3 linked regions of the Xenopus tropicalis genome follow. The protein of the gene in region 2 purifies or fractionates together with the protein of the main gene of each other region. This does not show direct contact. Links are inferred from orthologs where the notes say so. Each region holds a gene or a part of one and is shown on either strand. Other genes may lie near its edges.

The links.
Region 1: the proteins of rab11a (region 2) and evi5 purify together in Homo sapiens (co-immunoprecipitation; 3 studies listed by BioGRID and IntAct, with this or other methods). This does not show direct contact. The link is inferred for Xenopus tropicalis from reciprocal best matches to the Homo sapiens genes RAB11A and EVI5.
Region 3: the proteins of rab11a (region 2) and wdr44 purify together in Homo sapiens (affinity purification with mass spectrometry; 3 studies listed by BioGRID and IntAct, counting the BioPlex papers as one, with this or other methods). This does not show direct contact. The link is inferred for Xenopus tropicalis from reciprocal best matches to the Homo sapiens genes RAB11A and WDR44.

Annotation. Positions count from the first base shown.
Region 1 is NC_030680.2:104,390,698-104,394,349, reverse strand, and holds part of evi5 (ecotropic viral integration site 5 protein homolog), read right to left. Parts: coding exon 3,650-3,652; intron 3,361-3,649; coding exon 3,202-3,360; intron 904-3,201; coding exon 757-903; intron 1-756. UniProt on the Homo sapiens protein: Functions as a regulator of cell cycle progression by stabilizing the FBXO5 protein and promoting cyclin-A accumulation during interphase. May play a role in cytokinesis.
Region 2 is NC_030679.2:116,824,675-116,829,075, reverse strand, and holds the start of rab11a (ras-related protein Rab-11A), read right to left. Parts: upstream 2,846-4,401; 5' UTR 2,796-2,845; coding exon 2,756-2,795; intron 1-2,755. UniProt on the Homo sapiens protein: The small GTPases Rab are key regulators of intracellular membrane trafficking, from the formation of transport vesicles to their fusion with membranes.
Region 3 is NC_030684.2:67,156,663-67,160,314, reverse strand, and holds part of wdr44 (WD repeat-containing protein 44), read right to left. Parts: intron 3,298-3,652; coding exon 3,175-3,297; intron 2,485-3,174; coding exon 2,293-2,484; intron 2,183-2,292; coding exon 2,081-2,182; intron 1-2,080. UniProt on the Homo sapiens protein: Downstream effector for Rab11 which regulates Rab11 intracellular membrane trafficking functions such as endocytic recycling, intracellular ciliogenesis and protein export.

The sequences.
Region 1 (3,652 bases), on a different chromosome or scaffold from region 2:
AAGGCAAAACTCAACATGATCTCCCCCTGCAAAAAAGTAGAAGCAGCAGCTAGAGTATATACCAGATTTCTGTGAGAGTTAAAGTCTGATTCTAGAACAATTCTTCTGTTCCACATAATGACTACTTTCCACCCGACAGATAAGAAATTAGGTCCTTTTACAGTCAGTAGGACTGGTTCCACACAGTGAATCATTTGTCTCCTTCCACTTTTAAGTTTTGTTTTCTGTTTAATGAGCTCACCACTATAAGGCCTTTTCTTCTTTCCCCTTAACCACTTTGTTCTAGAGGTACTTCTGTCTATGAGCCTAGTTTATGCCACCACAATTAAATTTGTATGGTAGATCAGCCTTAAATTGGATCTACTATCAGATGGTGCCCTTAATATTTAAACATTACTACGGATTTACCTATATTTAGTAGAAGTTTACTACTAAAGAAAACCAATCTTAACTAGCCATAATGAACAAGGACAACAGCTTTTGCACCATTTTTAGGGTCCAGTAACAGTTCTTTGCCCCTTTAGCTCATAAAATACAGTATATCATTGTACTAGCCAACTTCCAATATCAAGGACAGCAAGCAAGTGTTCACCCTTAATTTTATCCAAAAATTCTTTCAAACGTAGTCCCCCCCAGGCACTGCTTCTTAACTCTCCCTACTACAAAACAGAGGGTTACTGATTGCCTGTGCCAGTACCACTAGGACTACTCCACTACACAAACAGCACCAGAACCAAAGACTATTAAAGAGGTTACCTTGCACTCAATCTCTGCTTGCTTGCGCTTTGCTTCATTTAGCTGGGCTTGTAGCCCTTTGTTTTGGGCTGTGAGGTACTGCACTTTTGACTGCAGGCTGCTGACCTCTTGTTCTGCTCTTCGAAGCTGGTTGCTGTTTATCTGATTCTGAAATAAAGACAGAACAAAACTGAAATACAATACTGATTTGGAAATCAGGAAGACAGACACATATTTTTGCCAGAAAGCACGACATAACTTCACCCACAGAAGTGGGTAAACTATATTTCTGTTACCTGGGTAAATTACTTGTATTGCTCATAACATGCCTTTTGTACTGCACAAAGGTCAGTGACATACATATGTATTTTATGTTAAATGGGTAAAATCACCATTTGATGCTTGCTATGCGGCTACTGGAGCCTTCATACAGGGAGGAAGGGGAAAGTGATCTTTGGGTTTCCTAAAAAGGTAATTTTTCAGTGCCTCCAATGAGCCCAGAGTATGAGCCTGAAGTACTACATTTTGATTTTCAAAGACCTGAGTGAGCCGCCAAGTGATATAGCTAAATTGGGCTGCTAAATAATAGAAGTATAGGTTTGGGAGACCCAACCCTCCTCTAGTATATGAAGCAGTCAGCATAGCAAATGAGATCCTTGGTATCTTATTATTCCACAGGAAAGAATGAAGAGATACCCAATTAGTTAATGATGTTGCAAGTTGATTGATGGGAGTAATGTTCAAAGAAATGTATTGCTTGGGAGCAAGATGTATATTTATCCCTAAATATTTGAAAGTATTTACCTACTGTAGGTGGGGGTCAGCCGCTTGGTGTGGACCGATTTGGTCCAATTAATACGGAGTCCAGAGAATATAGTAAACCAGGAAAAGATTCTTAAAATTCCTAATAGCGAGGGGCCTGGATCTGCCAGATAGAGTAGGACATCATCCGCATATAACTATATTTTTTCTTCAATGGGACCATATTTTAGTCCTGATTGTTTCTTGGAGTGGCAGATTTATATAGCAAGGGGCTCTATTGCTAAAGCAAAAAGTAGGGGAGAGAGGGGGCACCCTTGTCTTGTCCCTCTGCTCAAAGAAAAAGCCGGTGAGATAAAATTGTTTGCTTGAACTTGGGACATAAGGTCCCTATATAGAATTTCTTACCAAAACTGAAGTGTTTTAAGATTCCCCATAGGTATGGCCACTCAATTGGATCGCAAATTGTCATGTGGGAATTGTAGGTTGTAATATAATCTCCTCAGATTTACATCTGTGGATTGGTGAGGCATAAAGCCAGTTTGGTCTGCATAATCAATTTGAGTCTGGTGGCCAATTCCTTAGCTAATATCTTAGCATCCACATTAGTCAACGATTTGGGGCGATAAAATACACACTGTTCTAGGGGTTTTACTTCCTTATGAATTAGAACTATAAGGGCATTAGCTTAGAAGGGCAATAGGCCATCCTGTTCGGATGACAGAGTATTTCACATAGGGTACCTGCTGCTCTCTTGCCCAGCATCCTCAACCACTCTATTGGAAGGCCATTAGGCCCAGGGGCCTTACAGGATGCCATTGATGAGATTGTCTCTTGAATGGCCCCAGCTGTTATGGGTCTATCTAGGAGAGTATATATTGTTGGATGTAGTCTTGGGAAAGTTACGGTTATAGAATCTAGAAAGTTTTGGAGTTGGGCAGAAGTGTTTTGGACGTTAGGGTGCTACCACCATTATAGAAGATAAGGTCTTAAAAATGTTTGTGTTAACATAGGCATGGTTTAAAGTTGGTGTGGTTTAAAAAAGGCAGTGGCCAAAATGGACATTCACTATTGGCCCTCCACCTTGCAGGTCCGAAAAATTCTGGCCCTCAGTACCACTGAATTTGGACAATGCCTTAAAGAGATCCTCCACCCAAGTATTAATTCCAAGCAATTATAAAATATACATTTCATACACCCTTTCAGTGGTTTATAAAGCAATATTTGTCTGACTGTTTGCATTCTCCACAGTCCTGGATCTGAATCCAGAAACAATGTTGTCTGAAATGGTTTCTCTAAGCAGCTCTTAAAACAATCTTCTCAGTACAAGTCCCACGTAATTAATCTGAGGATAAGTAATTCTATCGGCAGTTTGAGTCTGCCTGTGCTTAAACATTGCCCTCTAGTGTTCACTTTTAAAATAAAGTGCATCAAAAAGAAAAAACGCAATGGGCCTCTCTCCTTACCATTTGCCCTATGCACAAGAGCTACAGCTCTAAGGGGTTCATGCACAAAGCCCTTGTTCCTGTTGCAATGGTCTGTGTACCTTGCACCCATTTTTGCTCTCTAGTTTGTGCATGTGAATGACAAGTAAGGTAGACAGGGTATTATATATATATATATTAAACTTGACAGACTGTCATTTTTCAACTCGAACTCGTGCAACTTTAACTAATATACAACCATTACAATGTGCCTTTGCAGTACCTGTGTTTCCATCTCCATCATTCGCTGCCTGACCTCCCGAAGCTCAGCATGCCTTTCTGCTTCTCTCAATCGAACAGTCATCAGCTCATCCTGCAGCTCATTGATTGTGTTCTTCTTAGGTGGATCTTTCCACCGGCCTGCAGTGCGTGCTAGATGACGCTACAAGGGAGAAAAATAAACTAGTACTCGCTTCTGTAAACCATCCTTTCCTCCAGAAATCTGTTGCAGGAGTTGAAGCCATGTGTATGGGAAAGAAGCACAATGTAAGCAGCGCTAAGCAGGTGTATACTAAAAATGCAATAAAACAGGAGCACCAGGACTACCAACAATGCAACCCTGAGTACTGTATATGCTTGCAAACACTACCTACACATCAATAGCCAACAGTAACTTACTGGCTTAAGAGGATGTAGAGGCAGCCCCAACATATTCAAAGCCTTCTTCCTACCTG
Region 2 (4,401 bases):
TACTGGCAGAGCTATATAGCCAGCTGAGGATGCAGGTCAGTGCCCATCTGGCACAAGGAAAGCCTGCATGGTACATACATAACCCAGTATAAAGAGAAGGATTATTATAGGCACATGGGTTTAGGTGCCACTCAGGTCAAACCCAGAGAGGGAGAGAGTAAAAGACTTACACTGCGGTGCAAACTGGGTCACCCCATAAAGCTCAGTGGGTACAAATGGGCTGTGAGTAAAACAGGCCAAGTAACTGAAACCTACCAACCTGCCTGGGATTAAACATGTATGTGCACGAGGCCTGCAAATAAAACAGGTTACATTTTGGGGAGGGGGTAAAGGAGAAGGGAGTTTTCCAGTTCGATAAGTGAATGGAACACCAACACCTACCACACCTACTATTTGTCAAGTCTCCCATGATCTGCACACAAGCCTTGTGCAAGTGTATGTGCTGTTCGCAGTGACAGTGCCCAGAGAACTCGGGCAGCACAGGGCATTGGCACACCGGCATTTAATGCTGGTGGTCGAGATCACAAACTGAGGAGCCCCAAACTGCCCCCATGACACGCGGTTGCCAGGCAACATTTCTCTGAACATACAGAATTCATAGACCCCCAAACCCTCCTGCATAGCCATAGCACTTACACTAACTGCTCCTACAAGCTGAGATCTAAGCAAGACACACACCATAACCAATGGATGTGTAATCCCAGGGCAATTACAGTGCAATTTCATTTCTTTTTTAATTCCCCACGCCTGTTTGGCCCACGGGTGTAAACTGCCTCATATACAGCAACTTACCTAATTCTGCATAAAGCTATTTTTTCTTAAATAATTTGCCCTCTGGGAAATAAAAAGGAATTCCACTCAAACCCTTCTACCCAATGAAGGGCAAAAATACCAGCATGTGGGTGGAATTCCCCTTTAAATCAAATAAGCAAGGATTTGGCAAAAAGCCTGAAGGATTCAGAGACAGAAATAATAAAGGCAAAGCAAAATGCCCAGCTGACAAGTGGGAGTCCTATCCTGATAGAAAGAGGAGGAGGTGGGGGCTGATGAATTAATATCCTGTGCAGACCTGTGCTTTCCTCACTACCCCACCCTGCATTCCAGACTTGCGAGAGGTCAAACAGTGCTTTAGCCACTGACCCTGAACGAAACACAACCTGCAGGGTGAAAGTCTGACTCCATCTTCTCAGCCTCACCAATGTTTAACCCTGGCAGAGCTGAAAGTACAGCTAATGCCATAATGTCTCCCAAACCCAGTGAATAATTATACTAGTAACCTCCATTAGCAACTCTCATCCTGCTTCTGCCAACAGAGTGCAAATCCCAATAGCTTAAATGGAAAATTTGTGCAATCCCGATCCCAGTTCAGTTGTTGCTGAATTATAACTTTCATCACAAACAAATTAAGAGAGATTGGCCAAGCACAGTGTGGTGGAAATGGCTGGATTTGCTGGGAAGATTCTGCACCTAATGCGCTCGTCTGTACACTGGGCAGCTGCAACGTAAGAGAAGTATGTGACTGAGCAAATAAACAGAATGGTAACCCGAGAACTAAGTGGCGAGAAGATGTGATGATATAAAGGGCAAGCAGAGCTGGACACAATGCAACCCAAGTCCAGGTCTCTTCTTCGTCCAAAAATGCTTTGTGCCATACCCTGTAACTTGCCCAGGCAGAGCAGAGGGTTCTGGGGCACTGGAAGAGTGCGGCGGTGCAACACTGAGAAGGAAAGTACCCCAGGCTGCTGCATTTTTTAAAGAGAGGGAAGGGCCCAGAGTCTGAAGTGACTGAACTGAATCACTCAGCATCCTCCCCAGGGATATTTCCTTGCCCTTAAAGGATATACCTTCAGTAAGTTAAACACCTTAAGTGAGTAAAACAGAGGAACTACACACCCAATTCCTACCACCACCCAAGAATGACATGGGTGCAACTACAGAGGAAAGCAACGTCTGGGACTGCAGGGGGGTGGGGGGAGTTAGGCACAGACTGATAATCTGTTACAGTGTATCCCCATATTCCCAGAGTTTAGCTGAACCCTAAAATGCTTTTGCTTCATTACCCCACTACATCATCAATCCCTTTTAATAAAAATACAACACCAAAAGCCATGAATTCCGCCTTAAATACACCCTCATAGCCAAGGCTTTATGAGGTCATGAGTTAGAACTGGCACATAGTGATGTCACATGTGTCACATGACCCAAGGAAGTGTGAGTTTCACTGAACACCATCCAATGGATGGAAGGCAGCTGTCAGGCAGACTTTCGTATTTTATTAACACTGGAGAAAAACAATGTTGTCTCTGTGCCCCTGTAGCAAATGTAGCACAGATACTTCCTTCTATTTCTATTTCCCAACGACTTCCCCTAGAAAAGAAAAGGGTTTCCTGTCCTTGTAGCCACAAACACCCTACTGACCCTCCTTTCCTCCCATGCTTCACTGACTCACGACCCCAAAACACTTCCCCACACTTTGGAGCCTGATCACCTGATCTATTCACACAGTAACAACCTGGATCGATGTACTCTGGGCTTCCCAGCCCTGTATCTACTATTCCATTTACGGAATCCAGCAGCCCCAGTGTCACCGCCCTGACAGGCTCCAGCTGGAGCGGGAATAGCTTGGCTACAGCCTAAAGTTCAACCACAGCCGGTGATTCTCGCCATAAACGTCAGCCTACATCCTTGTTACCGAGAGGTTTAACCTCCAGAGTGTGCAGCAGAGGCTGCCAGTCGCCCCCCAAGCCCCGGTTACCTTTAAACAGATAATCGTATTCGTCGTCCCTGGTACCCATCCTCGCGGTACTTCTGACGTTCGCGATGTGCGGCTAACAGCAGCAACCGTCAGATCTCCAGGAAGCCCGGCAGTGTCCGAACCCCTCCCAGAAACAGGAGCAGCACTTCCGCCCACTCCTGCACGGAAACGGCCCAACCGTCACTTCCGGGTTACCTGGCAACTGAGCGCAATGGTGCGAGTCTGACAAACAAGATGTTTCTTTTCATGTCTAACGGGAGGTGCTTAATGTATGAGTAAAGGGGCTGCTAGCAACGTTGCTGCACGTTTCCCATGTTTTATCAACTGAAATGCCTTTGTGCGCACCTACTTGCACTGTCGGCGAGGGGTTGGGAGTAGTAAGATGGCGGCCTTGATTGAAGCTGGGTGGGCTGGGCAGCCGCAGTGAGAAGTGGAACAAAAACAGAGATTGTGTTTAAACGAGGAGACTTGGACCTGAGATTATTTGAAAAGTAACCGACAATGCAAATATGAATATATCTATAATTATAAGGATATATGAAGGAAAAACTCTATGGAAAAATTCTAAAGGTGTATGTTGTGAAGTGTTCATAGACGGTTCCATGGTGTAATGGTTAGCACTCTGGACTCTGAATCCAGCGATCCGAGTTCAAATCTCGGTGGAACCTAAATTTTGATTTATATCACATTTATTGCTTGAAAAAATGTAATTGATTAGCAATTACTTTTTATTAATGAAATATCAACAATGATTATATACATTAATGCTGTTCTGTATAACATTTTACATTATAACATTCTGGATAGAAGTGTCTGCTTTATTTTTTGGAACTGCTTTTAACACAGATGGAGATAATTTACAGTCTAGATTAAATGGGTCTCCAGCCTCTTGCTCTCCGGTTGCTAAACAGTGACCTTACACTGCTAGTAGCCCTACACTGCTAAGTGTAGTGTGGTATTTGTGATAGTTATAGTTCAAGAACAGTAAGTGAGTCATAGGCTAAAGATCCCTGATTCCCTATGCAGGCCATAGGTACTGTAAGAATAAGTTTATCTGGAGTGCAGTAGCACAAGGCATACCAGTTATGTACTGTAGGCAATGAACTCCGCACATTATATAAACAGGGTTGCTGAGATGTCAACTCGTTCCCCAGGGTTGGCCTGCTGGGAGTCCATGAGTGACTGCTGGGAGTCCACAAGTTACATCACTAAGCCCTTCTCATGTCACTCACTGCACATGCACACAGCCCCCTCCACCCAACTAATTGCCCACCTGGCATGGGCACATCTAAAGCTGCCAGGGAAACTGGTTATGCCAGGTATGTTGTTGCATCTGCCTGGGATTTCACTTCCTTATCTGGTAACCGAGAATCTAAAGCTGCTCAGTTATACCCTCCATCTACCCAGAAGCCTATGTGCCTCTCCCCAAATCCCCCATCATGAATACAGTGCTGTAGCTGCCCTCTCACATGTGTTAAACTTGGCCAAAAGACCAAAGGTAGGACTTCTGGTGGCCCATTTTAGGACATCCTTGCTATAAATGCAAGTACGCCAAGCGATCTCCTGGTACTTATTCCTGTGATGTTGCAGCAGATTGCCTTACTCCTTCCAGAAAACAAAACAAGTAACTCTGCTGTGCCTCACTT
Region 3 (3,652 bases), on a different chromosome or scaffold from region 2:
ACAGTAACACTAAAAAATAAAAATGTTTTAAAATAATTAAAATATAATGTACCGTTGCCCTGCACTGGTAAAAGTTGCGTGTTTGCTTCAGAAAGACTACTGTAGTTAATAGAAATAGCTGCTGTGAGGCCATGGGGGCAGCCATTTAAATTGAAAAAAGGAGAAAAGGCACAGGTTACATAAGAAGATAACAGATAAACTGTGAAGAATACAATGGGAATCTATACTACTTATCTGTTATCTGCTTAGTAACCTGTGCCTTTTCTCCTTTTTTCAATTTAAATGGCTGCCCCCATGGCTACACAGCAGGGTATTTATATAAACTGCAGTAGTGTTTAGGAAGAAAACACACAACTTTTACCAGTGCAGAGCAATAGTATATAATATATTAATTATTTTTATACACTTTCATTTTTTGGTGTTACTGTTCCTTTAAAATGATAATCTTGAAAATAAATGGTAATACAAAAAAAGCCAAACATGCTTCCAAAGCATGCAAAGCAAAGAGGGACTTTGTGCCTATGTTTCTGTTCACAGGTTGTCAACAGACACATTGCAAACAGTGCAACTAAAAATAGCAAATTGTTGTATATGAACTTATATGATATGGAGAATGTTTTCCTGCATTTTACACCATTGTTTTGTGGTCCCACTAATATATAACACATAATAAACTTCCCTGATTTTACATTTTCCTGGATTTTGCACCATTTTTTTTCTGGTCCCCTGAAAAACTGAAAATGGGGGTTTATACTATAATGATGAATTTATGTTTTAATTCTGCTTTTACTATTACACTGAGGGGCCCAGTCATTAAAGCATGACCACGACTGAAAAAAATTCTTATTCTATTCTTCTTTTTTTTTTTTTATTTTAAAGTTTTGAACTATTTGTACTGTTAACAATATCATTAAAATAGTATGACTTTTTCGAGATACATACGTTATTCTACGAAAAAGTCGTACTTTACACAAAGACAACAAAAATTTTGTTATTCATTCAAGCTTCAGTATCGTGACTTTCCTTTGGCCAGGTTGGAGCTGCAGAGTGCCATTGAGTCCTATGAAAGGCTTCCAAAATCATGCACTGAAGTTTTAAAGTCAGAAAGGTTTTCGCGCCTTTTACGATCGTTCAGATACAAAAATTTCCTAACTTTCGTATCGCAACCACAATATTTTGTACGACCACGACACAAATTTTCACGCAATTTACGCACATCAGAAATTATTGTGGTTACTACGAAATTTTTCCAATCATGCTTTTTAACAATCCGAAATTTGTGTTTTAATGAATGGGCCCCTTAGTGTGCTCTAGTATAAAAATATTTATAGAAAGAAGCACGATTACTGGGATGTTTAACTAAAAAAAAAAAAAAAAGATGTGCATAATGTCATAATGTATACTTAACTTAATGAACTGAAAGACCTTTAAGTGTGAGTCTCTGTCAATATTTGTATTACAGGTATGGGATTTATCATCCAGAATGCTCAGGACCTGGGATCTTTACACAATTTGTCACAATACCGTAAGTCTACTATAAATGATTTAGACAAAATAAACCCAGTAGGACTGTTTAACCTCCAATAAGGATTAATTATAGCTAAATTGGGATCAAGTTTAAGGCACTCTTTGTTACAGTGTTGCACTGGCAGATCACCCCACACATACTCAGTGGTGTCACAGGTCGGTCTGGTGTACGACTACAGTTAAACAATATTGAAGGAAATTGTGTTTGTGCAGGAACCAAATTAAAAATGTATGTGTGTACATCTTCAGTATACTGAAAGTAAGCTTCTGATTGCCATGGGGTACCAAACACAAACAAACATTGCTGCTATTAGTACATAATAGAAAAAAAGTCAATTTTGTCTGCATTTTCATTAGGAGGACAACATGCAATCATAACAATATTATGTAGTGAATAAATACTAAGTGCACAAAACATGTACTATGTGTATATGTGATTTAGATGTTATTAGCTAAGGATGCTAATTTTGCAATAATATATCATCTACATAATTTATCAGTTTAGCCAGTGAGTAGCTTCATTCTGCTTGTCACAAAATAATTTAAAACGTACCTTATTTTCACCCGGTAATGGCTCTATTCCAGTAATTTTTCTTCCTACCCTGTTTCGCCCTCTCGTGGAGCGTACATGTATTTGGGTATGGTATTTTAAATGCTAGAAGGAGAAAACAAAACAATATTACTTAAAAACAATACTGTTTTCCAATGTAACGTCACATTTAAATCCATTATACCCCAGCACCCCTCATCAAAAAAAGTGATTACCTCAGTATCATAAAAAATGCACCTTCCATCATACGTGCCAATAACTGCATGTTTTCCATTTTGACAAAAGTTAGCGGCTGTAATTAATTTCGTTTGTCCATCAATCTCGTTCCACAAAGCAACTTTCTTGTCAGGAATATTCCAAAGCCTGAGTTTACCATCAAGAGAACCACTTAAGAAGTAACGATCATCCTAGAGAGAAAGCTCTATACAATTACATTTTGAATACAGCATAAACTGAATTAAATACAACAAAAATAAATTCGAAAACTCTTCAAATTGACCTAAAATTTGCTAACTGCATAAACTTGATTTCTACTCATGTATCAACTGATTAAAAATTTGTATTAGCTTTCTGGTGGTGGCTCTACTTTAAAAATAACCATAAGTGAAGTTACCCATAGGAGCATTTTTAATATAGCTTCAGCCTCCAGGCATGAGCAATAGGTTATAGAATGTGAGAGTAAGTGCCTGAATCCTACCAGCTTTTAGGTAGCAAGCTTTTTATTTTTTTCCAAAACCTGCTTGTGGTAAAAAACAAACAAAAAACCATGTTAAAATCCCTTTGGCAACAAGTCGAACCAACTGAACCAAACAATAATAAACATGCCTCTTAGAGTTATGGCACAAGTGGTACATTTTTCTCTGCAAAAGTTGCCATGATGACAATTGTCCCATGTGCAACAGCAATAATATTAGCAAAACATACCTGCTTCCATCGACATGAACATTAATGAACAGACTTTTTCCTGGGACAATTTTCAGAGCTTTTTTCAGAAGAACTGTTACATGCTAAATAAGCCTAAAATTGCCAGGTTTAAAAAAAATGAAAGCAATCTGGGTTTAACACAATATCTTGAAAACCACAGAAACATGACTCACCCTTGGATGGAAAGCTATTGCTGTAACAAAATCAATATGCTGGAAGCAACAAAGACACTCCCTCCTGGATATATGCCACAGACGCACTGTCTTGTCCATTGATGATGAGAGTAAGAAATAATTCTGTAGGAGCATTTGGAAGACCATTGTAAGAACTCTGAAATATATTTGTTCATCTTGACAATAGATACACTATATATCTTAGCTACGATTTAACTTGTAGCTATATAATTAGGATTCTGTACTCAGCTAAGGGAAAGCTATAATTTAAACTGCATGCAATTCGATTTCCAGTAAATGCACAATCAAGCATTTAAAAACACTTTTGCAGACTAAGCAAAGATAAGTTACATAGTTAACTGTGTAAACTACAAAACAGCTCCTGACATTTATTTATACTACCAACATATAAGACATTAGATCACCATGCTCCTCTCAGGTTTATTTATTCATCTAAAGGGAGAATGCACTGTCCTTT